7 linked regions of the Xenopus tropicalis genome follow. The protein of the gene in region 1 interacts with the protein of each later gene in a pairwise test. Links are inferred from orthologs where the notes say so. Each region holds a gene or a part of one and is shown in the gene's direction. Other genes may lie near its edges.

The links.
Region 2: the proteins of cwf19l2 (region 1) and rint1 interact in binary tests that used the Homo sapiens proteins (3 or more experiments, as listed by UniProt). The two-hybrid records come from large-scale screens. The link is inferred for Xenopus tropicalis from reciprocal best matches to the Homo sapiens genes CWF19L2 and RINT1.
Region 3: the proteins of cwf19l2 (region 1) and calcoco1 interact in binary tests that used the Homo sapiens proteins (3 or more experiments, as listed by UniProt). The two-hybrid records come from large-scale screens. The link is inferred for Xenopus tropicalis from reciprocal best matches to the Homo sapiens genes CWF19L2 and CALCOCO1.
Region 4: the proteins of cwf19l2 (region 1) and trim54 interact in binary tests that used the Homo sapiens proteins (3 or more experiments, as listed by UniProt). The two-hybrid records come from large-scale screens. The link is inferred for Xenopus tropicalis from reciprocal best matches to the Homo sapiens genes CWF19L2 and TRIM54.
Region 5: the proteins of cwf19l2 (region 1) and mad1l1 interact in binary tests that used the Homo sapiens proteins (3 or more experiments, as listed by UniProt). The two-hybrid records come from large-scale screens. The link is inferred for Xenopus tropicalis from reciprocal best matches to the Homo sapiens genes CWF19L2 and MAD1L1.
Region 6: the proteins of cwf19l2 (region 1) and card9 interact in binary tests that used the Homo sapiens proteins (3 or more experiments, as listed by UniProt). The two-hybrid records come from large-scale screens. The link is inferred for Xenopus tropicalis from reciprocal best matches to the Homo sapiens genes CWF19L2 and CARD9.
Region 7: the proteins of cwf19l2 (region 1) and mtus2 interact in binary tests that used the Homo sapiens proteins (3 or more experiments, as listed by UniProt). The two-hybrid records come from large-scale screens. The link is inferred for Xenopus tropicalis from reciprocal best matches to the Homo sapiens genes CWF19L2 and MTUS2.

What each region holds. Positions count from the first base shown.
Region 1 is NC_030678.2:160,179,924-160,184,307, forward strand, and holds the start of cwf19l2 (CWF19-like protein 2), read left to right. Parts: upstream 1-1,309; 5' UTR 1,310-1,406; coding exon 1,407-1,499; intron 1,500-2,471; coding exon 2,472-2,582; intron 2,583-2,775; coding exon 2,776-2,898; intron 2,899-4,109; coding exon 4,110-4,220; intron 4,221-4,384.
Region 2 is NC_030679.2:77,093,097-77,097,382, reverse strand, and holds the start of rint1 (RAD50-interacting protein 1), read left to right. Parts: upstream 1-1,230; 5' UTR 1,231-1,524; intron 1,525-3,345; 5' UTR 3,346-3,352; coding exon 3,353-3,574; intron 3,575-4,286. UniProt on the Homo sapiens protein: Involved in regulation of membrane traffic between the Golgi and the endoplasmic reticulum (ER); the function is proposed to depend on its association in the NRZ complex which is believed to play a role in SNARE assembly at the ER.
Region 3 is NC_030678.2:146,265,501-146,269,863, forward strand, and holds the start of calcoco1 (calcium-binding and coiled-coil domain-containing protein 1), read left to right. Parts: upstream 1-1,414; 5' UTR 1,415-1,495; intron 1,496-4,363. UniProt on the Homo sapiens protein: Functions as a coactivator for aryl hydrocarbon and nuclear receptors (NR). Recruited to promoters through its contact with the N-terminal basic helix-loop-helix-Per-Arnt-Sim (PAS) domain of transcription factors or coactivators, such as NCOA2.
Region 4 is NC_030681.2:162,398,457-162,402,947, reverse strand, and holds the start of trim54 (tripartite motif-containing protein 54), read left to right. Parts: upstream 1-1,597; 5' UTR 1,598-1,758; intron 1,759-3,193; 5' UTR 3,194-3,207; coding exon 3,208-3,375; intron 3,376-4,491. UniProt on the Homo sapiens protein: May bind and stabilize microtubules during myotubes formation.
Region 5 is NC_030685.2:31,040,356-31,044,721, reverse strand, and holds the start of mad1l1 (mitotic spindle assembly checkpoint protein MAD1), read left to right. Parts: upstream 1-1,480; 5' UTR 1,481-1,519; exon of another isoform or gene 1,520-1,542; intron 1,543-1,570; exon of another isoform or gene 1,571-1,593; intron 1,594-3,498; 5' UTR 3,499-3,526; coding exon 3,527-3,679; intron 3,680-4,366. UniProt on the Homo sapiens protein: Component of the spindle-assembly checkpoint that prevents the onset of anaphase until all chromosomes are properly aligned at the metaphase plate.
Region 6 is NC_030684.2:6,411,875-6,416,148, reverse strand, and holds the start of card9 (caspase recruitment domain-containing protein 9), read left to right. Parts: upstream 1-1,354; 5' UTR 1,355-1,532; intron 1,533-1,724; exon of another isoform or gene 1,725-1,908; intron 1,909-2,806; 5' UTR 2,807-3,040; intron 3,041-4,274. UniProt on the Homo sapiens protein: Adapter protein that plays a key role in innate immune response against fungi by forming signaling complexes downstream of C-type lectin receptors.
Region 7 is NC_030678.2:154,502,712-154,506,510, reverse strand, and holds part of mtus2 (microtubule-associated tumor suppressor candidate 2), read left to right. Parts: intron 1-1,615; coding exon 1,616-1,714; intron 1,715-3,240; coding exon 3,241-3,360; intron 3,361-3,457; coding exon 3,458-3,555; intron 3,556-3,799. UniProt on the Homo sapiens protein: Binds microtubules. Together with MAPRE1 may target the microtubule depolymerase KIF2C to the plus-end of microtubules. May regulate the dynamics of microtubules at their growing distal tip.

The sequences.
Region 1 (4,384 bases):
GGCACTCTGCAGCTCCAACCTGGCCCAAGGAAAGTCTCCCATAGGGCTCAATGGCACTCTGCAGCTCCAACCCGGCCCAAGGAAAGTCTCCCATAGGGCTCAATGGCACTCTGCAGCTCCAACCTGGCCCAAGGAAAGTCTCCCATAGGGCTCAATGGCACTCTGCAGCTCCAACCTGGCCCAGGAAAGTCTCCCATAGGGCTCAATGGCACTCTGCAGCTCCAACCCGGCCCAAGGAAAGTCTCCCATAGGGCTCAATGGCACTCTGCAGCTCCAACCCGGCCCAAGGAAAGTCTCCCATAGGGCTCAATGGCACTCTGCAGCTCCAACCCGGCCCAAGGAAAGTCTCCCATAGGGCTCAATGGCACTCTGCAGCTCCAACCCGGCCCAAGAAAAGTCACCAGCTTGAATGAATCCAAAACTTTCGTACTCGGCGCGAAAGCTGCGAAAAAGTTGCGACAATTCGCGCAAGTCGTAACGCTACAAAAAAGTCGCGACATTTTGCGAAACATTCGGAACGGCTATGAAAAAGTCGCGAAAATTTTGTGAAAAATCGCAAAATACCGATCATCCTGAAAAAAACGCATTCGGCCCGTTCGTGGGTTAGTAAATGTGCCCCTTAAGGTCATAATCCTCAGTGACCAACACACAAGATGGCGCTCATAGTGTGCAACATTTAGAAATGAAAGTTCATTTGGGCATAATAATTTAAAAATGAAGGTACATTAATGATATTTAAGGCACATTTAGTCTAAATACATACCAAAACCACTGCTTTAGCTCTGTCCATTACCTCTGTCCTCACCATAAACCTGAAAACATATCTGCCCCCCTCCCTCCCCACCAAGGGACCCAGCTTGGGCAAATGCGCCCCTACCCTGCCCTTCTCACTCAGCCCTATTCAGGACCTGTATCTAACAGTATCTGTACTCTGCTCACCAAAAGGGCGACGGGCAGCTATAAGCCTGCAGCAAAGCGACCCAACAACTCACTACAGCGCAACCCACCCCTCTCTACAGGCGGGAGTTCCACTCGCCTAGAATCCTGCGTAAACTTGCACTGAGTTCTTAGTAGGAAGTCTTTATCTTGGCTTCACGCTACTTCCGGGTGTACTAACATGGCGGCGACGTTACGGTACCTCATTGATGTACCCTGTTACTTTGGGTGTACTAACATGGATGCGACGTCAGTGTATCCAAATGGTTATGTCCCCCTTCCGGGTGTACCAATATGGAGGCGATGTAGCTGCGGCTTATAGTTTATCTGCCGTGTTTTGTATTACCTTACTAAAAAGCGTGTTTGCAAGTCACAGAATTGATGCGGCAGTATACGGTGGGAGCAAGCAGTGATTTTGAGCCGCCCTTGTTATTAGTGGATTACAGCTACAGCTTTAAGGTGCCAGAGTGATGGCAGCTGACGGAGGCATGTTTGAAAGTAGCAGGAGTATTGAGGAGAAACGTGAGAGCAAGAGGAGAGCACGGCAGGAGCTGCTCAGCAAGGTACAGGCGGCTTGTATTGGGCAGGGGCTGAGGGGCCAGTAGCACAGGGACCCATGTTATTAGTGACAATGAAGGCAGAGGCAAGAGCTGCCTGTGGGAATGGAATGTTGTAGTTCAGCAACTGCTGCAGTTTTGCAATCACATATTAATCTAACCTCCCAATTAATGCAGCTTTCCTACACTCCCAGGTGCCCACTCAGCTCTGTAAAGCGCCACAAGGGTACGCAGCGCTGTACAATCTTACAGAATACAAATTGACACACAGGGAGGACAAGTGTTATAATAAATAAATACAATAAATATATATATATAAGTGCCATGTGGTATGAGACACAGTAGGAAGGAGGTCCCTGCCCCGTAGAGCTTACAATCTAAGTGGTTGGGTAAAATACAGGCACAAACTGGAAGGTAAGAGGGCACCAGGTATGGGCATTTGCCCTTAAGCGCAGGACTGGGCAAAATAATGTTTTAGTGCTCCAGAAGGTAGCATCTGAGTTTTATCTTAAAGAGAGTGGGTGAGTTTTCCCTACGGGGGGATTCAGGGATAGAGTTCCAGTTCCATGTATGTTCTATGTGTACACCCATTTATTGTACAGTGCTGCGGAATATGTTTATAAATACATATCAATAAGTATAATAAATATTGACAAAGCTGAAATGTGGCTGTATATCCCCTTGTTCAGCCATAATACAATGAACTAGGCCTGTGCTAAACATACTTTTTGCCTATTTTACCTGTCAAAACATAACGTAGCATTTACCCATAGGTAACATAAAAGGCATTCCATTATGTAAGTAGGTGAATGGATATATGGAATTACTTTATATAAGTCATACTTTATATTCTGACCAACTTTGGCTGTTTGCTATTTTTTGCTTAATTATTCATTATGCTTTTTTTCATTATTATTTTTTATTTTTGAATTAGATTTATGACTATTCTGTCATTTTCTTTTTCTTTAATTCTTATAGGCCAAAGATGACTACTCTAAAGCAGAGAAGCGTAAAGAGCAGCAGCGCCTACGAGGAGAAGACACCTGGATGCTAGATGATGTTAATGATCGGTTAGAAGCATTAAATCAGGTAATACACGCAGGTAAACATAAATAGCTATAAACTGATTTTAGCCGCCAGTTAATTTGTGCTCGCAAAATCCTTCGTACTCTGTAAGTTCTTGTGTCCAGAGAAGAACCAATCAAACTATCGCTAAATATATTTTTTTCTAAGCATCATGCTGTTTATTTTATGTCTCTTTTACTGTGTTTTGTCTTTTCAGGAACATTCTGCAAAGAATAAAAAGAAAAAGGAGAAACACCGCCACAAACTGAAAAAGGAGAAAAAGAAAAAAAGCAAAAAGCAGAAATCGGAAAGGAATGATGATTCTGAGGACAGTTCTTCGGTATACCGTGGGACATTGGGAAGGGAAGATAATTGGGCGCATTGGTTTACAAGGCACAGTGAGCAAAATGCGAATTCGAGGGCCGTCGACATGTATTTTTTCCCCACAATGCTGTGTCTTTTCCACAACCCAGGTTTTGATGCAAATGGGCAATCCTATTGACATAATTGCACTGCGCCTACCGGAATTAAGTCTGAAAATGGAGCAAATGCATGTGTGCTTAGTTGCAAATCAGGTGCAGTTGCACCAAATATTTTCCATATCTGCCTGGTATCATTGCCTGCGATCACTGTCGTAATTTTAAGCGTTCAGCGTGTGCCTGATTCTTTTGGTGCAGCTGCACTTAAGCGACTGAGGGAGCAGAGGGAATTATGGAGCTACTGCCTGGTCAGGAGGTGCTGGTAGCTCCAGGGTGCCCCTATGTTAATATGCACAGCAGCACTCAATTTGGAACATAGGGCAGGAAAGACTGAGCAGTGCCAAGGCCCACTTTACAGAAGTACAAGCCCTGCATTTTGAAGCAAATACCTTTAAGAAAAGTGGTTTTATGCACAAAGCATATCAAACTGAAATTGATATGAAAGAATTATATTACTATATAAAGTTTATGTTTAGATGCCAAAAAGGGACTTTTTCACATAACCTATTAAAGGAGACATATCATATAAAAATTAAGAATGTACCAGTGAATTATACTCCTCTAAATATAGAAGGATTGTGCTTAAAAAAAGTTGTGTTTTGGGTTGATTTATTGAGAAATTCCACCAAAACCCCACTAGTCCCAACCATCTGTTCCACTTCCTGCTGGCTGAATGTGCAGGGGAGCCGGCAGCTCTCAGTACACTGCACTGTAGGATAGGAGCCAATCAGCAGCTAGGCTGACCTGATAGGGAACTGAAGCCTGTCTTTGCTTGTGTGAGTGCAAGGCTGTGATTGGCTATCCCCCTCCTACTGTCCTTGTGGCAGGGACTTTTAGAACACGCCCACGCTAAAATTGATTGGATTTACGTTTAGCCCAAAGTGAAACCAGCACCATATATTATTCATAATTGCCAACAAACTTGGGGTTTTTCCATTTATCCAATATGTCTCCTTTTACACTAAAGGAACGTTCACATGTTGATATAATGGTTCACTTTTATTGCATCTTTATTATAGGATGTGTTTTGTAGCAATTTTACCACTAGCCTTAAACTATTATGTCTTTGCAGGATTCTGAGGAGGAATGGGTTGAGGCTCCCCCACTACAGGCAGCCAGTGAGAAGAAGGCATGGAAAATTAAGGCTGAAGTTAAGGCTGAAGTCCCTGAAAAATCTACAGAGGTAATTTAATTTTTACTCCATCTACGATACTAAAATATAATTGAAAGGCAGAAACCCAGAGGTTTTATATAATCAGTGCTCACAATTGCCAGAGTATGGTTCGGGTGCATAAAGCTCAAACCTGTAGCTTGGGAGGCAGAAAGCTTCAGTCTCAATGTGGGTTT
Region 2 (4,286 bases), on another chromosome or scaffold:
TAAAGCGCCAACATATTCCGCAGCGCTGTACAATAAGTGGGTTACATACATTGGACATACAGAGTAACATATAAAGCAATCAATAACTGATACAAGAGGTGAAGAGGGCCCTGCCTAAAAGAGCTTACAATCTACAAGGAGATGTACGCTGAATAAGGGTCTGTGTGTGTATGCTGTTTGCAGATTTAAATGTATCTGAGTATGTAAGAAAAATGGCCACCGGGTGGGAGGGGATATATGTAGTACAAATGATGCCATTTGGGTGGGGGAGATGTTCCCAACTGATTTACATTGTAGGCTTTACATATTCCTTAAAAATTTGTTGTACTTTTATATGTTTTAGCCCCAAGGCCTCCTGTGGTTTTGGGGGCCACAGCCTTAAACCATCCCTGATATAGTTCCAGCACATCACAGCCCTGCTTCAGTAGCACTCTCAATCTAATTTGCCTACCGCAGACTATAAAAACTAAAGGCAGTTTCCTCAGAGCTCCGCCTGTTGTTTTTTGTAAAAAGGCCTATTCAACTTTCCCCATATTTCCTTAATTACAAATTTAAATGCAATATAATTGCAACTGAAAACAGTACTTAGGCTATTGATTAGGAAGTCAAAAACGGACCAGTACTTTTTTTTCATGTTTATGTTTTCTGCATTGCAAAAGCCAGCTGCTTGAATAAGCATGGAAAGTATTGAGGTAATGGCTGGGTAAGAGCTAGGTAAGAGCTGGGTAAGAGCTGGGTAAGAGCTAGGTAAGAGCTGGGTAAGAGCTAGGTAAGAGCTGGGTAAGAGCTAGGTAAGAGCTGGCTCTTGGTACGTTGTTGCAAAAGTCAGACCAGAAAAGGACAAACAGTGCATCAAATTACAAACACATTTACAACTCTAAAACTACTCATGTACATTAGAACATTGCTTGGAATCGATTTTCTTTCATGAAGGACTTAAAAAAAAAAAAAAGCATTCCCCTTTAACTTATAGCCATTCATTCAGCAGGGTGTCATTATTATTCACGTTAGAATTGCGAAAGATTTAAAACGTGGCTGCTGCAGAGAGAATTGCTCTCTAACTGTGCGGCTGCAATTCATAACGCTGCTAGTTAGCCAGGAACTTCATAGTTTGTTTAGTGCCACTGTGGCTATATTTCCGCTACCAGTTGAGTCCATTTTTGTTTAACGCCGAATTTGTTAATAAAGTTGTGGTTTTACAGAGAGAACTGGGGCAGGAAGTTATACGTCTGCAGCTTAGGTGAGAGGGCGCAGAACTGGGAAGTGACGTATGCAGTGCGGGAGAGATGCCAAAGTCACCGGAAGTGATGTGTTTGTACCGCTGCTGAGCGTTCAGCTTGAGGAAGTGATGTGTGTTTAGTGCTGGTGACAGTGTGTAGGCTGTCACAGGGACTGCTGCAAGATGCGTTACGAAAGACCTACAAATTATCCCCGGGACTGCAATTTGCGAAAGTGACTTTGAGTCGTGGGCTCTGGGCCCGAAACTAACTCCCAGACGAACTGTTTGCTTGATCTACAGAAGAGGTAACTCCTTTGAAAATTAAAATCATCACCTTGGTTGAATTTCTTTTTTTTATAATAAGTAATTTCTCCCCAGGGGCGGCTTGTGTATACAAGTTAGGGTCGTGTGCATTTGCATCTATTATTGTGCTAATCATTTTTGCATTGATCTGGAAACTGACACAAAAACGTTGTTTTCACTGAAATGCATTGCATCTTAATGATTTTGCAGGGAAAAACACCATGCTTTAAAGTAATGTATAAGATTTTATTATTTTTTAATGAATGAATAAATAAATGCATTTTGAGTTCGTATAGAAGCCCTAAAGTACAAGTGGTAAACAATATTGATGGAGTAGATCTGCTTTCTTCTGCCTGCTTTTTTTAACCAGGCAGAGGAACGTGGATCCGCTGTCATGTGCTCCTTCATATAGCAATATTGACAGGTAAGATGTCAACTTGTAAACTACAGATTCCTCTTAAATGAAAGGAAAACAAAAACCCAAGATATATATTTTTAAAAATATTAAATATATGTATTTTATAATAATTATTAAAAAATGTCTTTAGGGGTACCAAATAAGCACAGTAATTGGCTATTTGGCAGTCCATGTGGACTGCTAGCCTGCAGGAGGCTCTGCTTGGAGTAAAACTGACCTCCAAGCCAGAAATGTAAAAATGGGCACCAACCTTGAGGCCCCTGGGAGCAAGGGGGCGGTGAGCAACATCTTGCTAACAAGCCACTGACTGGGGATCACTGGCTTAGAACTTTATGTCCATAATGCAGCCTATGTTGGCCTCTGTACAACTGTGTGTCATGCAACAAACCTATTACCTTTTTAATATGCAGTATAGATTGATTGTAGAGGTTCGGATTCATAGGAATATCTGGAAACCCCATTCCTAAGTAATCAGATGCCTATTAAAACCATTTACGCAGGGATGATGAGTAATAAACACAGATGTGCAGTGCATGGCTGCATAAAAAACAGTGCAGTGTTCTGCATGCATCACATGATTAGTCATCAATTGTGCAGAATGGTGATGTTATAGGTGATTCATTCTAAATATGAGGTGGAAGCCCTTTGCTGCATGTAAATGTTCACCAGTTTGATTAAAGTAGCTATTCATATTATTGGATTATTGTCAGATATCAACACACTTTCTGCTGAGTTTGTTATTCTGCAACAGCTCTGAAGTTTAGAGACAGCTTATTTTGATAACCATTTAGCTTGCTTCAGCGCTATTAGCTCTGCCTTTGTATTTATAGAGGAAGTACTCCCCTTTTTTACATTTGATATACACAAACACACATACATATACAGGTATAGAACCCGTTATCCAGAATGCTCGGGACCAAGGGTATTCCGGATAAGGGGTCTTTCCGTAATTTGGATCTCCATACCTTAAGTCTACTAAAAAACCAAAAAAATATTAATTATCCTAATAGGATTGTTTTGCATCCAATTAGGATTATTTATATCTTAGTTGGGATCAATTACAAGTTACTGTTTTATTATGTCAGAGAAAAAGAAAATCAGCTTTAAAATTCTGAATTATTTGATTAAAATGGAGTCTATGGGAGATGAACTTTCCGTAATTCAGAGCTTTCTGGATAATGGGTTTCCGGATAAGGGATCCCATTCCTGTATATATATCTGCATACAGGTATTGGATCTGTTATCCAGAATCCAAATGCCCTTGGTGCAGGTCAAAAACAAAAATATAATAGAAAGAATGCCGCACACATAGGGACTTGATACAAAAGAAAAAGTGTTTTTATTTAAAAAAATTGAATTTATTTATTTTTTTCTTTTAATAAATATGCTTTTTCTTGTTCCCCAGGTCAATTATGGCTTCTTTGGAGACTGGAAGAGAGTCCGGCACTTCCAATCAAAGTGACCACAAGAACCCGAGTGACATCTGTGGACTGGTGGATTTGGACACATGTGAGATTCCATTGTATGTGTGTGAATTTGTAGAAAAGGAGATAGGAAATGATTTCAAGTCTCTGAAAAACGTTTCAAACCTCATAGAAACCATTAAAGAAGAGAAGAAACATTTGGAGGAGCAAGTAAGTACAGCAGGTTATATTTTTAAGTCCTGTTAAGGATGATGATGTGATCTCTTACCTCAAGAACAGCCCTAAAGATTAAAGGGCATTGGCTGCAGTTAGAAGTAAAAAGTTGATGAGAGGGCATGTGGTGTGATTTGGGGTGTCATCCCATCAAGTAGTGACAAAACCTTCCTACTAGTAATTAGCAGGTCTCTTCTAACATGCACCTGACCATCAAAAGCTGCTTTCCAACCTGCACCCAAAGTATTGATCTTTCAGAGGATTAGAACATGGAATCAGCCCTTTATGTCAATCTTGTCTTTTAAAAATTATTCCTTTTCCAACCATAGTTTTCCTTGCAGTATTAAGCTGCACAAATGCAAAAAACAGGGCACTCTTAAATAAACCTTTTTTTTATCATTTATTAATGCCACACATAGAAATACCCAACACATTTCGGCCCTTACAACGAGGGGTCTTCGTCAGGGAAACATGCAAAAGGTGCAGGCAACTTACATTGACAAAGTGTTAGTAATATATACCCTCCAGAAAGTCCAAAATTTGACGTGCCAATCTTCAGCGTTACTTCCCCCATCACTTCCAGAATGTGCAGAGCAGGATGTCACTTTTCATGCTCACGTCCTTCCCTTAATGCAAGTGCCGCTTTCTTCCAGGCAGATCTCCTTTGCGTTGCACATTATCATTGCAACCTGTGACGGCAAATGCTTCT
Region 3 (4,363 bases), about 14 Mb from region 1:
ACTCATATAAGCCCCCTACTGTCCACTGGTCAAATTGATTCTAAACCCAAAACACTTTAATATATGTAGGTATTTTAATATTTCAAGAAACTTTATATAATATATAAATTACTAATAATTACTTATACATGTTTGATGATCAGTTTCATTATTGCTAACTATTAACCAGTGTGTTTACAAGTAGAAAGTCTTCTCCTTTCATTGCATTTTCTTTCACTGATAACATTATCTTTTCTGTAAAGAGCAGTCCATTGAACATTTTTACACATTTGCTTCAAATAGCAGACCTATAAATTTCACCTATTTTTTGACTGATGTGGGTTGTTAGCCCTGAGGGTAAGTTTATACATGACATTCAATTACTTTCTATTTTTTCCATTTGCTGGAGTCAGAAAGTGAGAAATAGCACCATATATTGAATAGTATCATGAAAGCTGAGGCTACTCAGCCCTAATAATTTTAGGGACTGTGTCATATAGCTAGAGGCACACTCTGCCATGAAATGCTGGTTTCACTGTCCATGAAATTCATGTGTCATCAAATGCTGGGGCCACTGTATCATAAATTGTTGGGGCCACTGTGTAATATATTGCTGGTGCAATCCTATGGTATGAAATGCTGGATTCACTGTGCCATAAAAAAGCTGTGTCCACTATGTCTTGAATGTTGGGGCCGCATTGTCACAAATTGCTTAAAATGCTGTTATGATGTGCTGGGCCAATGGTGTGTTATACATTTTATGGGCCACTGTACCTACAGTATAATATCATGATTTTTTGGGCTGAAAGTACCATTATTTCTGGGGCCACTGTGTCATATATACTGGGTTCCCTCTGGCATAAATTGCAAAGGACACACTGTTTGACATATTACTTGGACCATAGTCTCGTGAAAGGCTAGGGTCATTGTCAAAATTTGCTGGAGTCTCTCTGTTATGAAATGCAAAGGGGTAACTGTTTCATATATTGCCAGAACCACTGTGTCATAAAATGCTAACATCACAATGTCATGAAATGCTGAGGCCACTGTGTAATACATTAGTGAAAACCCCCAGAAAGGCAGTAATTTACAGTATGGTCTTCCTAATATCATAAGTATGTGGTACATCCTCTCCTTAGTGTCTACAATTCAGTCAGTTACCCAGCCTGTGACAAAATATTTTGATTATTTTTTTGCAAAAACTGGTTGTTCCAAGTTTTGTTCTTCTAGATTTGCTGAGACAACTCCCGCTTTAGGTGCCAACGTTGTATTTAGTGACCGCTAATAGCACTTCATTATACACATATATTTCTGCTAAATTGGCCTGTTAGACATTTTTTGACTTAATTCTATTTAGGTAAATTCCCTGGCTGAATTTTTGCTTAATTTATAAAATTTTGTGTTACAAGGGAATTTATTACATTTTGAACATACTCTCTCCCTACAGATAGACAAGACCTTAATGGGTAGCCTCGCCTCATCATCATATGCTGACTAGGACGTTTGGCAGAACACGGTATGTATACCTCCTGAGATTCAGTACATTGATTACATTTAATGGTGTCGTGGGGCACTTAAGAGGAACTTGAAAAAAAATCTTTTAGCCCCTAGGTATGAATTTAATATGGAATATCACGAATCTTTATATTTGGATGTTAATATTATAGTATATAATATTATAGGGATAGATAACACCCTTGCATCAATGACTTAAAAAGAAAGGTCTTCCTTAGACCATGTGTTAAAGAAAGCACTGTCAAAAATGTATAATAAAGTTGTTAAGGTTAAAAAATTGTGTTGTCATTCATAGAAGAATTCTCTCTTGTTTCAACAGCAGGTAATTGGGTTCTTGAGAATTTGTGATTGGTTAAAGATGATCAATCTCTGTGTGAAGAGGTTAAAATACTCTAATCTGCATTTATTAAAAAGATAAATCAATATGTGATTACATTGTTAATGCAGATCCGGTATATAATTATAGATATGTGGATATATGTTGGGGGGGGGGCACTGTGTCATTAAATGCTTTGGGCACTGTTGCATGAAATACTGTGGCCACTAGGGTTGCCACCTGGCTGGTATTTCACCGCCCTGGCCTGCAAGGGCCAGAGCCAAAATTACAAATCTACCTGAAATGTAGCTGCCAGTAAATTTGCAATAACTTGTCCTTTGCCCATGCCCACCTCTGATCCACCCGACCTGCCTAATATCCTCTCACCCAGCTCTCTATCTAGCTTGCCCTGATCACGATTTCCCCTTATATGTGGCCCACCAAAGCTCCGCCCCTGACATCACAAAGATTGAGGCAAGGCAGCAACCCTAGTGGCTGCTGCCTCATGAAATGTTGGGGCCACTGTTTCATAGATTGTGGAGGCAACTTTATCATTTAATGCTAGGTGCAGTGTATCACAAATTTCTGGAGCCACTGGCACTTGAAATGATGGTGCTACAGGATGTCATGAAATGCTTGGGGTTACCGTGTTATGAAAAGCTAGAACCTCTGTATTATATATTTGGGTAGCACAATGTCTCAGGACAAGGAAGGGGACCATAACAAGGAACAGGATTGAAAAAAAAGGTATACAAAGCAAATAGTGCAATCAGGAATAGTAATGAGTATAATTTTTCACCAGATATGGATTTGTGGCACAATTCCACAATGTCTCAGGACAAGGAGGGGGGCCATAACAAGGAACAGGATTGAAAAACAAGGTATACAAAGCAAATAGTTCAATCAGGAATAGTAATGAGCATAATTTTTCACCAGATATGGATTTGTGGCACAATTCCACAGTTTTGTTGCAAAATATTTTCACAAAATTTTGCAACAAAACACCCATAGACTCCAATGTGCAATGCACAAAAACAGCCGCTGCAGACAAATGCCAATTGATTTCCATGCTTTTCGACAATTCATGAATTTTCCCACAGTTTCAGAATTTTTTTCAAAACAGGAGATATTCACTCATCACTACTCAGGAACCTCGGAAACCTATAAAGAACAAGAGGGGAATGTAGGATTGGGTAATACTGGGGGTGTCAGTCAATAAGCTACTCCTGCTGCTTGATGCAGGATCCTACACAAACAGAAATATGTTGGCAAGTTTTAGTTAAATAAACCCAATAGCCTTTCCCCATGCATCAGGCCAGGATTCAAATGCAAGCGAAGACAGGTACCAGGAATACAGAACAGGATTTATAATGCACATAGAACCCTAAAATTGTGTTTGTGTGTCAGTTGTCCTTTGATTAAACAATCATTTTTTTATTGATTAGTGGGTGCCTAGCAAAGGGAGGGAGCTTCATATGCTGAGACTGTAGTGATTTCTGTCACTGATGAGACATGGTGCAAAACCAACCCATACTACAATAACATGATTGTCAGTAATGCTTGCTGCTGCTGCACATATGGAGAGATGTATTTCACATGATGTCATTAGAGTAACTCAAGAAGGTTGTTGAGCAAAAGTGGAATGGTCTTCCTGGAAAGCAATGGAGATGGTCCAGTTCAGCACATACCATTAATTCACAGAATCCCTTAGGCTCCCCAAAATTATTTAAGGGACATTTTGTCACTCTCATTTTAGCTAACCATGTGTTTCCAATCCGCCTCTTCAGCAGTACGATCAGTTGCTGTGTTTCTTGGGCTGTTTTTCTCCTGGAACAAAATATGGAAATTTTAGAACTACAAAAATTGCTGAATCATTTTGCTAATTTCCTGTAATAACGTTTCAGCGTTTCTCCATGCAATTTGTATTTGCACAATTTGTTACACTGCAAAGAAAAGTACTATATGTTGTAAAAAAAATTACTATGTCTTTGCTGTTTAATTAGTTGCCTATTTTCTTTGTTAACTAGAAGGTTCTACATTTAATTGCCTGAGTCTTGAACCTTCTTTCCCTTGATCAAAAAGAACAGTTTGGTTATAAAATTATTATTACTATAGTTGATAAAGTTAGGGTTGTGCCTGTCTGGTTTTAGACTAGACAGCCCGGTTTTTTAAATGTGATGTCTGGTTTTTGGATCTCAGTCTGGTTTCTAATGGCTCTGTAATGTAACACACCTCTATGTGCAACTTCATGTATGGAGAAACTGCTCCATTTTCTGTGGATCTATTCACAGTATGCACAACATTTAAAGTGGACCTGTCACCCAGGCATACAAATCTGTATAATAAAAGTCCTTTTGAAATTAAATAAGAAACACACATTCATTTTTATATTAACACACCCAAACCCATTATAAAGGCATTTAAAAATCCCAGCTGTCAATCATATATTGCCTGCAGACAAGTACTTTAACTTTTAATTCAGCTCACACTTTCCCCCTCCCTCCTAACCATCTAATTGGGTAGCCAGTGCATGGGCCTGGGCATCTGGTCCCC
Region 4 (4,491 bases), on another chromosome or scaffold:
CACAGTAGCACCTCCCCTTTAATATATAACCTGCCCTATGGGAACAGTACTATTTCAGAAAATATACAGTATGCACCGTAACAAAGTGAGTGTGGCCCCCCAACAGCGATATTGAGATGTAACAGCCCCTAGGCACCCCTACAGCCCTGGGTGAGTGTGTGGGTTCTGTATGGGGGTATTTCTGCCCAATCACTGCCCATACAGACTCCCCCCAGTTCCATGTGACTGCTGCAAATCAGCCCATAGATTTCCCATGATATTCAGGGGGGGTGCGACCCCCCGCATAAATGCCTTTGTAGCTTTCCCACTGTGTTTGGGCTCATTGTGGGAATATCCAACCCCTGGAACTGCAACTCTCTGCCTGACACTTAGACATGATCCTGAAGGGTTGGTATTGGGGTGAATTCATCCGACCCTCAACTTTAACAAGGACCCCGGTCCCTGAACCAGCCCCACAGCATGATGGGACCCCCACCCAATGTGACAGTCGGCAGTGGGGGTTTCTGGGAAAGCGCTTTTTGTTATGAGCAAATAACGCCATTTGTGTCTCATCAGCCCAAAGCACTTTGTTCCCAGATGCCTGCAGCTAAATGAGCTTTTGCCCCAACAAGCGACGGTATGTGGGGCGCGAGGGCAGAAAGGGCTCCTTTCCCACCCCCCGGCCATCCAGATGGTCTTTGTGCAAATGGCGCTGTAGCACCAGGTACAGATACACCGTCTGCAGCAAGAAGTTCCTGGGGGGTGAGGTGGGATCTTTGGCTTGTCTGGAACCAGTCTCACAATTCACCCCCAATATTCCGCTCTTGGATGTTCCTTGACAGGCCAGACCTGGGTTTTACAGCAACTGTTCCTGTGGCCTCCCATTTCCTGATTACGTTCCTTACAGTTGGAACTGACAGGTTAACCCTCTGGGATCTGAGCTGTTTGTAGCCTCCCCCTAAACCCTGTACTGAACAATCTTTGCTTTCAGATCTATTGAGAGTTGCTGTGAGGATCCCCTGCTGTCACTCAGGAGAGTCAAATAGAAGCACAACTTGCAATTGGTCACATTAAATACCTTTTGGACACACCTGCCTGTGAAGGTCAAGGCGTAACGAGCTAATCCAGCCAATTAGGTGCTGCCAGTAATCAGTACTGAGCAGTTACATTCAGCACAGTTACAAGGGGACCCACATTGTTGCACAGACAGTTTTCCCATTGGGTTTAATCCCATACAACTAATGCGGCTTCACTAAATCTCTTTGTTCAGAAACCCCCCCAGGCCCCCCCCACTTATCTTTAGTGTTTTATTGTGCTGCCTGAGAGGGGTTCCTATATATATTATAGGGGGTGGGGGGGTGCATGTGTGTATGTATATATATATATATATATGTATGTGGGGGGGGGGGTGCGTGCCTTTGTTACTGAGTCATTGTGTGAGTGTGACTCACTATCAGCTGCTCAGTGAGTGTGTGACAGCTGCACCCCAGACTTGCCCCCCCCCCCCCCCGCTCCTTATCCCTGAGCTAAATATACAGCAGGAATGCCCCCCTGCCCCCCTGCCCCCCTTCCACTCATGTCGCATTAACTCTGCCTGATAGTGGGGGGGCACAGCCTGGTGCGAGGGGCTCTGTTAGCTGCTCAGCCACTGGCACAGAAGGGTTAATCATTGGGGGGGGGCAGGAGGAAGTGACCGGAGCCTCAACACTTAGTCTCCCAGTTTGTGTATCATTTGGGGAGAGAGTTGTGAGAGCGCTCAGGGCAGGACACCCAGTACCAGTAAGTGGGGGGCACAGAACTTGGGGGGCAGCTGGGTTGGGGGGTCTGGGTGGTTGTTACAGGGTTTTTGGGTGGGAACAGTAATTTTCAGGGGTTTAGATGGGGGGGTTGCTTGGTATATTGTGGGGGGGGGGTCACAGGACTGGGGATGTTGTGTGAATTGAGGGGGGGGGCAGGGTTTTAATGTTTTTTATTTAAAACTATACAAGAGAAGATAAACTCAACTGAGACCGACAGGCCGGGCAACTTACCCTCTACTGCCCACACTCCCCAAGCGCCTGGCACAGTGGCATCAGCCTGAGGGCCCCTTGGCTGGGGAAGCTGCTAAGTGTTGGGGGTTAAGGTTGTGGGGCTGGGGGCAGTGCCCGTGGTTTGGAGAGGCAGGGGGTGAGGTTGCGGGACTGGGGGCAGTGCCCGTGGTTTGGAGAGGCAGGGGGTGAGGTTGTGGGACTGGGGGCAGTGCCCGTGGTTTGGAGAGGCAGGGGGTGAGGTTGCGGGACTGGGGGCAGTGCCCGTGGTTTGGAGAGGCAGGGGGTGAGGTTGTGGGACTGGGGGCAGTGCCCGCGGGTTAGAGAGGCAGGGGGTGAGGTTGCGGGACTGGGGGCAGTGCCCGTGGGTTGGAGAGGCAGGGGGTGAGGTTGTGGGACTGGGGGCAGTGCCCGCAGGTTAGAGAGGCAGGGGGTGAGGTTGTGGGACTGGAAGTAGTGCCCGCGGGTTAGAACGGCAGGGGGTGAGATTGTGGGACTGGGGGCAGTGCCCGCCGGTTAGAGAGGCAGGGGGTGAGGTTGCGGGACTGGGGGCAGTGCCCGCGGGTTAGAGAGGCAGGGGGTGAGGTTGCGGGATTGGGGGCAGTGCCCGCGGGTTGGAGAGGCAGGGGGTGAGGTTGTGGGACTGGGGGCAGTGCCCGCGGGTTAGAGAGGCAGGGGGTGAGGTTGCGGGACTGGGGGCAGTGCCCGCGGGTTAGAGAGGCAGGGGGTGAGGTTGCGGGACTGGGGGCAGTGCCCGCGGGTTAGAGAGGCAGGGGGTGAGGTTGCGGGATTGGGGGCAGTGCCCGCGGGTTGGAGAGGCAGGGGGTGAGGTTGTGGGACTGGGGGCAGTGCCCGCGGGTTAGAGAGGCAGGGGGTGAGGTTGCGGGACTGGGGGCAGTGCCCGCGGGTTAGAGAGGTAGGGGGTGAGGTTGCGGGATTGGGGGCAGTGCCCGCGGGTTGGAGAGGCAGGGGGTGAGGTTGTGGGACTGGGGGCAGTGCCCGCAGGTTAGAAAGGCAGGGGGTGAGGTTGCGGGACTGGGGGTGAGCATGATCAGGGTGGGGTGCTGGGGCCTCTGTGAGTGGGTGGGAGGGCACGTGGTACTGTTGGTGGGAGGATTTAGGGATGAGGGGCCCTTGGGGGGGCACATATATACCCCCAGTACATCTTGCTGCCTGTTTCTTCCTAGCATCCTGTGAGGGGATGAATTTTGCGGTGGGTTTCAAGCCTTTGGCCGGAGACACCCAGACCATGGACAACCTGGAGAAGCAGCTCATCTGCCCCATCTGCCTGGAGATGTTCACCAAACCCGTGGTGATCCTGCCCTGCCAGCACAACCTGTGCCGAAAGTGTGCCAATGATATCTTCCAGGTACCCCCTGGGGCTCTCTTGGTCTAACCCCCTGTGTGTGGCACTAACGCTATGGGACAGGGGCCATTCTTACTGTTGGGGGGGTATCTCAGGGAGGTGTCTCAGGAGGTACCGGGATCTCATTAATGACTGCCCCCCAGCAACCACAATTGAAAAAAACATAACCTCTTTATTTTATCTCAGAAAACTCTGACTGGTCGCCTCCTCTGATTGGCCAGTGAATACAGTTGGCCTCCATTGGCTGTTGGAATTCACAGACCCCCTCACTGTGGGAAATAGGCCCCGTGATACAATGCCGGATCTATTTATAAATAACCTTGTGCCAACTGCAACCAAAGTAGAATTATATAAATATAAACAGTCAGTTCCTGGCACCGGGGCATCCGTCATGCTTTGCCCTTCCCTGTAACTGAATTCCCTATAACTAGAACCTGCCTTTCCTTCATGGCACCTCTCCCCCACCTGTATTAGAGACAAGGAACAAGATGTAGGAGACTCCATAGGAGGAGGAACAACATAGAGAAGAGTCAGTAGGGGGAGGAACAAGATGTAGGAGACTCCATAGGAGGAGGAACAACATAGAGAAGAGTCAGTAGGGGGAGGAACAAGATGTAGGAGACTCCATAGGAGGAGGAACAACATAGAGAAGAGTCAGTAGGGGAGGAACAAGATGTAGGAGACTCCATAGGAGGAGGAACAACATAGAGAAGAGTCAGTAGGGGGAGGAACAAGATGTAGGAGACTCCATAGGAGGAGGAACAACATAGAGAAGAGTCAGTAGGGGGAGGAACAAGATGTAGGAGACTCCATAGGAGGAGGAACAACATAGAGAAGAGTCAGTAGGAGGAGGAACAAGATGTAGGAGACTCCATAGGAGGAGGAACAACATAGAGAAGAGTCAGTAGGGGGAGGAACAAGATGTAGGAGACTCCATAGGAGGAGGAACAACATAGAGAAGAGTCAGTAGGAGGAGGAACAAGATGTAGGAGACTCAGTAGGAGGAGGAACAACATAGAGAATAGTCAGTAGGGGGAGGAACAAGATGTAGGAGACTCAGTAGGAGGAAGAGCAACATAGAGAAGAGTCAGTAGGGGGAGGAACAAGATGTAGGAGACT
Region 5 (4,366 bases), on another chromosome or scaffold:
GCCTGTTGGTATATATGCCCAACGCGTTTCTTCCTGGTTTGGACTTCCTCAGGGGAATAAAAAAAGTGCAGCCTCCGTTGTCTCACACCTTACTATCTATTTTTTTTTTTTAGACAGGACCTGCTTTTACAATGTGCCAATGTGTGTGTACTTTATACATCTTACGAGTCACCACACAAAAAAAACTTGTCCTTTATGATCTTTTAGACCAGGGGTCCCCAACCTTTCTTACTCGTGAGCCACAGTCACATGTAAAAAGCCTTGGAGAGCAACACAAGCACCATAAAAGTTCATGGAGGTGCCAAATAAGGGCTAAGATTGGCTATTAGGCAGCCTCTATGCACACTATCATCTTATAGGAGGCTTTATTTGGTAGTAAATCTTGTTTTTATTCAACAAAAACTTGCCCCCAAGTCAGGAATTAAAAAATAACTACCTGGTTTGGGGGCACTGAGAGCAACATCCAAGGGGTTGGGGAGAAACATGTTGCCCCTGAGCCACTGGTTGGGGATCATGGTTTTAGACAGTCAGTGCTCAGGTTTGGTAACTTTGAGCTGCACTTACTTTAGACTGACTCAAACATGTACACAATTACCTACTCTAGACAATGAACGGCTGCATCAATTAACTGAAAAATTGGCTTGTGAGCCAAAGGGCACATACCGTACTCAGTACAGCCACTTTTCTATTGCCCTCTTCCCTTCCTCTGACAGCAACTATCTGCACAGTATTGTCACTACCTCGTCTGCTGATGCACAATTGCACCATACAGTCAGCATAATACATTGGCAGATTCAGGCCCAGACTGAATGCCAGAGGGGCTGCTGTAAGATATCATAGACATTCACTGTTTAGTAGGCTAGTGTGGGGCCTCTATGCAATTTGAATGCCAGGGCCTATTTTGAGCATCAGTCCAGACCTGGGCAGATTACTTTTTCCACCATGTCTGATGACCCAATCTATATGCATGGTACAAAGATATTGTCTTGATTGTCAGGCCAGCCTGCAATATATTAAAACTGGTTATACAACTAGAACTAACATGATTTTCAGTACTTGTAGGCTGATGTGACACTCAAGACAATATCTTTGTACCATACATATAGGTGCAGCCTTAGTAACCATAAAGGACAGTACTAGGAAGATTATATAAAAGTTTAGAAAATAAATGTATATATTTTTATATATATATATATATATATATATATATATAAATATATATGTTTAAATATATATATATATGTTTAAATATATATAAATATATACATGTATACATTTAAAAAAAAAATAATAAGTGTGTAAAAAAAAAAATAAGTGTATATATATATATATATAAATGACACCCTACCCTCTGCCGATCTGATTCCAGCTCGCTGGTAACTGCGCCCAGTTCTCTATCAATACGGCAACGCCGGCAAACTTAGGGTGTTTACGGTAAATGTGTTCTCTCGCGAGAGTTGCCCAGAGATTGCTGAGAGCGGGATTGTTCATTTCAGGGAAGGGAAGGAGGAATCTGGCGGTGAGTGAGAGGTGCTGTATTGGGTGAGCATGGGCACAGCCGCACAGGTCTCCTGCTCTACAGTTATTGGTGATGTACGCACTGCTGGTGTCTATGTGCAGCTGTATTGCAGGACTGCAACTCCCAGATTCCACCAGTTTCTCAAGTCAGTGTTGCTCAGGGTCCCAAGCTGCTACATTACAGCCAAGTTCGCAGCAGCAGCCCAAAGGGAAGTTTTAAAGCGTGCAACTATTTCCCCTTTGACTTAAAGTGCTAGAAACCACTGGCCTTGGGATCTTGAAGAATGCTGGGAAATGTAGTCAGAAGATCTAGTCTACAGCATGCAGTAATAGCCTATTAGGAGGGCCCCCCCAGCACTTGTAGACTCTGCTTCCTTGGGATTACTTAGGATTTTTGCACAGTTAGACATCTATCAAAGAGCATATCCATAAAGAAGAAGCAGATCCTGCCATTATAAGGGGGCAGTGGGGTGCTTACTGATAAGCGGTTTAATAAAAAATATATTATTAATGTGTTAATGATTTTGATGGGCTCTTTAATGCTTTCATACTTCTTGTGGGTTACATTGGAAGGGTTAAAAGGCTGATGAGTTTTGAGCATGTAATGCTCTACATTATGGAAAGGCTTCCCCCCCCCCCCCCCCCCCCCCCTTCCCAATCCAGAAAGTTTAAGATCCCAAGCATTCTGTGGATATTATATCTCGGGTTTATAAAGGAAATATAGACCCTCAACAAATTATTGAAAAATTGCTCCAAGTGCTCATGTAAGCACTTTTGCCACTTTTGCCTCCATTCAAGATATTAACAGTTTTTCAGCTGCTAGTATAATGAATTTGATTCAGCAGTGCTGGCTACTGGTCATTTTGGCTGCCTGGTTGCAATCAGCAGAAAATTAATTATGTGAGAAGACCAGTGGCTTGTAAAGTTGCTCTGCTTAGAAAATGAAGTGAGCAGAAAAGAGTCATCTGGGGTTGCTCTGGTCATTTCTAAGCACATTGTCATCACAAGATGTTCCTTTCCTCTCTCTAACTTTTCATTTTCATCTGACTGTATGCAGATAGCTAAAATAAACAGCAGGTGGCGCTGAGGTTTGAAATTCATTATATTAGCAATTATGTTTAACATATGTGTCAGGATCCACAAGGGTAACCGTGTTGTTTACGAGGGGTCTTCATGATTCCCCTAAATAATATATTTTTTCCTACAATTAAATATAGTGAAGCTGGCTTTAGAAAATAACTTAGGGCCCCTGAGAAAAGAGCTTATGAATGTAGGCAATGGTCATAATTAAGTTAAAGAGCTGCTGCAGTTACGGAGTGTCAGTATATTACTGAGTTTGTACCATGGTGCAATTACACTAGCACTTTATAGGGTGTAATTTGCATTAAATTTTCCAGTAACAATATTGTTATTATTTACTATGCATTTTTATACCTTATAAAGTAAAATTAGATATGTGCTGTCTATTTATGGTTGTATTTTTTGTCTTTCTCCTTTTAAAATTGAAACTTATTTTGTTAAATTGCCCTTTAGGCGTGAAATGGAAATCTCCCCAATTGCTGGTGTTCGTTGCATTGCCATTATTTATATTATCTGTGCAGAGAATTGCATCTTCACATAGTGCAGATAAAGACTTAAGGTGGCCATACACGGGCCGATTGTAGCTGCCAATATCGGCCTGTGTAGAGGCAGGAACGACGGGCATGCCTGACCGATATCTGGCCTGAAATTGGCCAGATATCAATCGTGCAGGTTATAAGATTTAGTCGGATCGGGGACCGCATTGTTTCGTTGATGCAGTCTCTGAACCGACTGCACCCATTACTGCCAGTGTAATTCGATTGTTTGGCCCCAGGGGTCTCTTAATGTTCCTTGTTAGGTTTTTTCCCCAGCTAGAAACCTTAGAACCGTACAGTCATATACAAACATATTTGTATTCTGGCTACATAATCCACTGACATTTTCCTCCCATTGTTTCAGATCTGCCTGTAACCTGTGAACAGCTAAAATGGATGACAGTGAAGACAACACCACTGTCATTTCCACACTACGGTCATTTAATAAATTTCTTTCTCAGCCATTGGAAGGGACAGCACCTTCTCTTGGTACTTCAACATCTACTGGAGCTTCCCTTCAAATGCAGTTTCAGCAGCGCTTTCTGGTATGTGTATATATATCATTAATATTTATTAATATTATCTAACAGAGGGATGTTACTATGCAGGTCTGTACTAATGTTTGCATTTGACTAAAACTGGGGGCGGTTATAGTTAAACATACCTATTACCGCCCCCAGTTTTAGCCTAAACTAGTCTGTGTACAGGAATTTTCACAACAGACAATTGGCTTATACATAACTTATGCAGTTTGTGTAAGTTTAGCAACGCAGCTGGGCCCCCTTCTGAAGCAGAATTCACCAGTATTCTGAAGCAGGCCCACCAGTACCCTCCATCCCCCCTAATGGCAGCCCTAGTTGGACCACATATATTGGTCAGTAATGTGCAAACTATATAACATTTCTTGCAAAAGTTGTAAAGTTCACATGCCTAGAGTAACTACAGGTCCTACAGACATGCAAAATATATAAGCAACAGTAGTCTGTCCTCTCAGATCTACAGTTGAACTCCTAATCGCTAAATGGAGGGGACCCATGTTTTTACCTCAGTATCATAGCTCTTGTTATACTACAGCTTGTATTGGGGTTACTTTTGAAACAGCTACTAACAGTGATCCCCTGCAAACAGGTTACATAAGCAGAAAGCCAGAAAGATGTCACCCTTTGTTCTCGTGTCTGAGAACGAGAGCTTTACAGTGACAGCCTTATGCAGGGGTCCAGCTGTTGCAGATG
Region 6 (4,274 bases), on another chromosome or scaffold:
TCCCCCATGTACCGCCTGCACCTTGCCTCTCCCCCATGTACCGCCTGCACCTTGCCTCTCCCCCATGTACCGCCTGCACCTTGCCTCTCCCCCATGTACCGCCTGCACCTTGCCTCTCCCCCATGTACCGCCTGCACCTTGCCTCTCCCCCATGTACCGCCTGCACCTTGCCTCTCCCCCATGTACCGCCTGCACCTTGCCTCTCCCCCATGTACCGCCTGCACCTTGCCTCTCCCCCATGTACCGCCTGCACCTTGCCTCTCCCCCATGTACCGCCTGCACCTTGCCTCTCCCCCATGTACCGCCTGCACCTTGCCTCTCCCCCATGTACCGCCTGCACCTTGCCTCTCCCCCATGTACCGCCTGCACCTTGCCTCTCCCCCATGTACCGCCTGCACCTTGCCTCTCCCCCATGTACCGCCTGCACCTTGCCTCTCCCCCATGTACCGCCTGCACCTTGCCTCTCCCCCATGTACCGCCTGCACCTTGCCTCTCCCCCATGTACCGCCTGCACCTTGCCTCTCCCCCATGTACCGCCTGCACCTTGCCTCTCCCCCATGTACCGCCTGCACCTTGCCTCTCCCCCATGTACCGCCTGCACCTTGCCTCTCCCCCATGTACCGCCTGCACCTTGCCTCTCCCCCATGTACCGCCTGCACCTTGCCTCTCCCCCATGTACCGCCTGCACCTTGCCTCTCCCCCATGTACCGCCTGCACCCTGCCTCTCCCCCATGTACCGCCTGCACCTTGCCTCTCCCCCATGTACCGCCTGCACCTTGCCTCTCCCCCATGTACCGCCTGCACCTTGCCTCTCCCCCATGTACCGCCTGCACCTTGCCTCTCCCCCATGTACCGCCTGCACCTTGCCTCTCCCCCATGTACCGCCTGCACCTTGCCTCTCCCCCATGTACCGCCTGCACCTTGCCTCTCCCCCATGTACAGCCATCTTGGAACGACACTTCCCATATGGAGATCAGATGGGATGCCCAGCTTTGCCATGTTTGGGAGTAGCTCGCTGTGGGTATAGGGTGCCAGGGGTGAGACAGTGGCGCATACTGGAGATGGTGCCCCAGGGGAGTCATTTAGTGCGAGGAGGGGAGAGATAAAATCATAGAGAGGAAAGCTTGAATGGATAGACATGGCGGGTGTGATTGGGCCATATACATGGTTGCCCAGATAGCCCAATGGCCTGTGTGAGGGGACAGGGGGGCACATCTGTCCATCCATACACCCCCAAAATAAGTCACTGACAGCAGAACTGGGGCAATCGAAACTGACACCCAAGGCAAATACCTTTTGCCCCCCCCTTCCCCTTTAATCCACTTTTATCCCAATTTTCACTCTCGGAAGACTCCTCCGACCCCCCCCTCTCTTCTCTCCCGGCCTCCAACGCCGACTCCCCAATCCCAGCGGAACGGCCGAGCCACATGCAGCCACCGGAAGCCACGAGCCAATCAGTTCCGAGCACGTGGAATTCCCAGTGACGATCTCAGGCAACCGACATGTCCCAACGGGTCCGGTATCTGCCACAGGTTGGTGACGACCCCCCCCCACCTTTGTTTAGCAGATCCAGGTGTTCTGTGTAAAGGCCAAACCCATTTCCTCTTGGAATTATGGGAAGGTAAAACCTTCAGGATCCTGATTGGAGGGTCCTGTATGCACATATAGAAACCGTAGCCGCTGGGGGAGGAGCTAAATAGTAAGGGGGAGTAGCCAATAACATTGGGGGGGGCTGTATCCGTGTGGGTTGATTTTGGGAGCAGGTTGGCCGAGTGTGTGCGAGGTCAGCTGACCTCTAATGGGTGCAATTAAGCCAATTAGTGAGCACTGTAGGCATCCGCCGGTCTCTATTAATTGCCCCACCCGGCCGTGCGTTCTTGATGAATAAGTCCTTCCCCCGTGGGTAAGGTAAGTCGCTAATTGCCCTCGTTACTTACAATTAAATGAATAATTACAATTAAAGGGAAAGTACACCTTCTTTAGCCACGTGAGTGGTGTAATGTGTCCGGATGCCGAGGCTGAATGCCAATCAGGGTGGAATGTGGGCTGTGTGGCATATTTGCTCTCCTCCGAATTCTGATAGGGTGACTTGCCATACCTGGGAAAGGGGGGGGAGCTGGGCAAATGCTGCTCGTAAAGGGGCGGTTTACCTTCAAGGTAATTTGTGTATGTTATAGAATGGCCATTTCTAAGCAACTTTTCAACTGGTCTTCATTATTTATTTCCTATAGTTTAAATATTTGCCTTCTTCTACCAACTCTTTGGGGGTCACTGACCCCGGCAGCCGGAAACAATTGCTCTGTGAGGCTCCAGTTTTATTGTTATTGTTACTTTTTATTCCTTATCTTTCTATTCAGCCCCTCCCCTATTCATATACCAGTCTCTCATTCAAACCACACCCTGGTTGCTAAGGTAATTGGAGCCCCAGCAACAGGGTCACTGACCCCGGCAGCCAAAACCTATTGCTCTGTGAGGCTCCAGTTTTATTGTTATTGTTACTTTTTATTCCTTATCTTTCTATTCAGTCCCTCTCCTATTCATATACCAATCTCTCATCCAAACCACTCCCTGGTTGCTAACATAACTTGGACCCTAGCAACCAAATAGCTGCTGAAACTCCAAACTGGAGAGCTGCTGAGCAAAGTGAAATAACTAAGAAACTACAAATAACAAAAAACGAAGACCAATTGCAAGTTTTCTCAGAATAGCACTCTCTGCATCACTAGAATATTGCACTGTTTATTGCCCGGTGGCTCATTGGTCATTAACGTTCCTAACCTCACTGCCTCTCCATGTGACTCCCCAGCAGCAGCAGCCGTGCAGCCAGTAATGGGAAGTGATCTCTGCAGACTGTGAAGCTGCACTGTGGTATGCGACTGTGTGCAGACCAGGAAGTCATTTCTACACAGCCGCCTTCGCCCCTCCCAAACCCCCGTGCTCTACACCTCTCCTTCTCTCCTTGCCATTCCTGCTCTCTGACATGGGACGGAGTAAGACGCTTGGCTGAAAGCTCCCAGACGGACCAACTGTTCTAGAAGAGGTGAGCTTACCCTTTATTGTAACCCCCTCTCCCAGGCCCCAGAGAGTTAATCTGATCTCTCTTTCTTATCGAAATATATATAACTTTGCCTTTAATTCAGTGTAACTACTGCGGCTATTTAGAAACTTATGCTCTGTGTGTATTTAGCACTTACCCTATCTAACCCATTCTATAGCACTGGTCCAGTCTGCAGGGAGGCAGAATTGTGTACAGAACCATGTACAGAATTGAATTTTGTAGCTGGACCATGTACAGAATTGAATTTTGTAGCTGGAACCATGTACAGGATATAATTTTGTAGCTGAAACCATGTACAGGATATCATTTTGGAGCTGGACCATGTACAGAATTGAATTTTGTAGCTGGAACATGTACAGAATTGAATTTTGTAGCTGGACCATGTACAGAATTGAATATTGTAGCTGGAACCATGTACAGAATTGAATTTTGTAGCTGGAACCATGTACAGAATTGAATTTTGTAGCTGGAACCATGTACAGAATTGAATTTTGTAGCTGGACCATGTACAGAATTGAATTTTGTAGCTGGACCACGTACAGAATTGAATTTTGTAGCTGGACCATGTACAGAATTGAATTTTGTAGATGGAACCATGTACAGGATTGAATTTTGTAGCTGGAAACATGTACAGGATATTATTTTGCAGATGGAACCATATACAGAATTGAATATTGTAGCTGGACCATGTACAGAATTGAATTTTGTAGCTGGAACCATGTACAGAATTGAATTTTGTAGCTGGAACCATGTACAGAATTGAATTTTGTAGCTGGACCATGTACAGAATTGAATTTTGTAGCTGGACCACGTACAGAATTGAATTTTGTAGCTGGACCATGTACAGAATTGAATTTTGTAGCTGGACCCTGTACAGAATTGAATTTTGTAGCTGGACCATGTACAGAATTGAATTTTGTAGCTGGACCATGTACAGAATTGAATTTTGTAGCTGGAACCATGTACAGAATTGAATATTGTAGCTGGACCATGTACAGAATTGAATTTTGTTCCTGGAACCATGTACAGAATTGAATTTTGTAGATGGAACCATGTACAGGATTGAAGTTTGTAGATGGAACCATGTACAGAATTGAATTTTGTAGCTGGAAACATGTACAGGATATTATTTTGTAGATGGAACCATATACAGAATTGAATATTGTAGCTGGACCATGTACAGAATTGAATTTTGTAGCTGGACCCTGTACAGAAT
Region 7 (3,799 bases), about 5.7 Mb from region 1:
ATAGAAATGGCACACTGTACTGTATATATAGAATATGTCACACTGTACTGTATATATAGAATATAAATGGCACACTATACTGTATATATAGAATATAAATGGCACAATATACTGTATATATAGAATATGTCACACTGTACTGTATATATAGAATAGAAATGGCACAATATACTGTATATATAGAATAGAAATGGCACACTATACTGTATATATAGAATAGAAATGGCACACTGTACTGTATATATAGAATAGAAATGGCACACTGTACTGTATATATAGAATATGTCACACTACTGTATATATAGAATAGAAATGGCACACTATACTGTATATATAGAATACAAATGTCACACTATACTGTATATATAGAATAGAAATGGCACACTATACTGTATATATAGAATACAAATGTCACACTATACTGTATATATAGAATAGAAATGGCACACTATACTGTATATATAGAATAGAAATGGCACACTGTACTGTATATATAGAATAGAAATGGCACACTATACTGTATATATAGAATACAAATGGCACAATATACTGTATATATAGAATAGAAATGGCACACTGTACTGTATATATAGAATAGAAATGGCACACTGTACTGTATATATAGAATAGAAATGTCACACTATACTGTATATATAGAATATAAATGGCACACTATACTGTATATATAGAATATACATGGCACACTATACTGTATATAGAATAGAAATGGCACACTATACTGTATATATAGAATAGAAATGGCACACTATACTGTATATATAGAATAGAAATGGCACACTATACTGTATATATAGAATAGAAATGGCACACTATACTGTATATATAGAATAGAAATGGCACACTATACTGTATATATAGAATAGAAATGGCACACTATACTGTATATATAGAATAGAAATGGCACACTATACTGTATATATAGAATAGAGATGGCACACTATACTGTATATATAGAATAGAAATGGCACACTATACTGTATATATAGAATAGAAATGGCACACTATACTGTATATATAGAATATAAATGTCACACTATACTATATATATAGAATAGAAATGGCACACTATACTGTATATATAGAATATAAATGGCACAATATACTGTATATATAGAATATAAATGGCACAATATACTGTATATATAGAATATAAATGGCACACTATACTGTATATATAGAATATAAATGGCACACTATACTGTATATATAGAATATAAATGGCGCACTATACTGTATATATAGAATATAAATGCCACAATATAAGGCTGATTAGTAAATAATTTAGAGTCTCATTATGTGGCAGCTAATACACAAGTACAATTTGCTTGAGAACATAAAGGAGAACTAAACCATAAACATAAATATGCCTAGAAATGCCATATTTTATATACCGAACTTATTGCACCTCCAGCCTGTAGGTATCAGCATGTGAGCATCAGCTGCTCCAGGAGCCTAAAACATAAGCTGTAGTAATGATAGCCTAGTTTTAGTTCTGCTATAAGGAAGATCACAATTAGTGTATAGAGTTGATGTTAGAGGAGAGTTTACAGCGGGGGGATCTAATTGTCTATTTCTCATCTTGCTCCTTTTGAAGGATCAGGTGGACACATTAACGTTCCAGAATAACACGCTACGAGACAGAGCGAGGAGGTTTGAGGAGGCGCTGATGAGAAGCACGAATGAACAGTTAGAGGTATTACATTACATTAACATTTATTTATAAGGCGCCAACATATTCCGCAGCGCTGTACAATAAGTGGTTTCCATACATTGGACATACAGAGTAACATATAAAGCAACCAATAACCGATACAAGAGGTGAAGAGAGCCCTGCCCAAAAGAGCTTACAATCTACAAGGAGAAAGGGTTGAGACACAAGGTGTGGGAATGGGCATGACAGAGTTGTGAGAGGTGGGGCACAGGGTATTGCTAAACTAGATTAGGGTAAGCTTCTCTGAATAAATGTGTTTTTAGAGATCTCTTGAAGGCAGAGAAATTGGGAGAAAGTCTGACAGTTTGTGGGAGTGAATTCCAGAGAAGGGGGGCAGCCCTTGCAAAGCCTTGAATGCGAGTGTGTGAGGAGGGAATGAGAGAGGAGTTGGGGAGCAGGTCAGTAGAGGAGCGTAACAAGTGGGTTGGATGGTACCTAGAGATGAGTTCAGAGATGTAGGGTGGGGCAGAGTTATGGACTGCTTTAAATGTGAGGGTCATTAGTTTGAATTTTATCCTGGATGGTAGGGGAAGCCAGTGCAGGGATTGGCAGAGCGGCACGGCAGAGGAGGAGCGGTTGGAGAGGTGTATGAGCCTGGCAGCAGTATTCATTATGGACTGGAGAGGGGACAGTCTTTGGAGGGGAAGGCCAATTAATAGGGAGTTACAGTAGTCCAGGCGAGATATTATAAGAGAGTGAATAAGAATTTTGGCAGCATCTTGGGTGATAAATGATCGGATTTTGGAGATATTTCTTAGGTGAAAGCGACATGATTTGATAAGTGATTGGATATGAGGAGTGAAGGACAGGGCAGAATCAAGGATAACCCCAAGGCACCGGGCCTGGGAAGATGGGGTGATGGTAGAATTGTTAACCGTTATAGATACCTCGGGAACAATGTGGGCGTTGGATGGGGGGAAGAGAACCAGTTCAGTTTTAGAGAGGTTTAATTTAAGGTAACGTTGGGACAGTACCTTAAGATAACCACATGGGGGTCTGTACAATTCTTTTCCACAATCAGTTTTATGCAGAATGTCCTTTGAAACTCAAATTCATAATATTGTGTTCCACAGAATCTGGCCTACCTCTAGCTGGCCTGCCTGTGTAGTGCTGATAACAAGGACTTTAGGTCGGGGGTGACTGGTGACATCACTTGGGGGTAAGGGTAATGTAGCAGCGGAGAGGGTTAGGGAAGGGAGGGGTTTATACAGTTTTACAAATTGACTGACAATTATATTGCCGGTAATTATGCAATTCCAGCTCTGGCCCTGACTGGTGAGTTAGTGACTGGTGAGTTAGTGACTGGTGAGTTAGTGACTGGTGAGTTAGTGACTGGGCCAGTCAAACACTGGCCGGGTGGTAACCTTCCCTTTTCTCTTCCCCCCTCCTCTGAGAAAGCAAACGCTACACTTTACTATACACGTACAACATACTGGGGCGTGAAACAATCTTCTGCCGTAGCAGCTTTGCATAATTCGATGTCTGAAAATGAAACGGTTGTTTTGCAGATTGCCCTAGCGCCATACCGCCACTTGGATGAAGATTTGCACAGTGTGAAACAAGTGCTGGAGATGAAGAACCAACTAATCCATCAACAGGAGAAGAGAATAATGGAATTGGAAAAACTGGTACGTCCCTTACAGTAAAGCTGCCAGGATGCTCATTCTGCTGCCGGGATGTGCAGAGAGATGGGTCACTTACCATTGGTTCTGCTTCTTCTCTCAGGCTGAAATAAACGTTCTTTTGGAGGAGAAAGTCCAGGTCCTTCAGCAGCAGAACGAAGACATGAAAGCCAGGATTGCGCAGAATGTGGTTGTCACCAGGTCTCTCTATTACTGCCTACTAAATGCAATGGGGGTAATAATAATAAGTATCATGGCTGAATGCCTGCGCCAGTCTGGTAACCCAAACAGTAACAATAGACCACGTTACTACATAATCCCTTATAAACATTAAACTTGTTATTTAGAATTCTTTTTCATATAGATTTGAGATATGAGATCACAGGATTTTAGATTTCTCCCAACTATAAGACCATGTACATTGCCAAGTGCAGTGAGCAAAGTG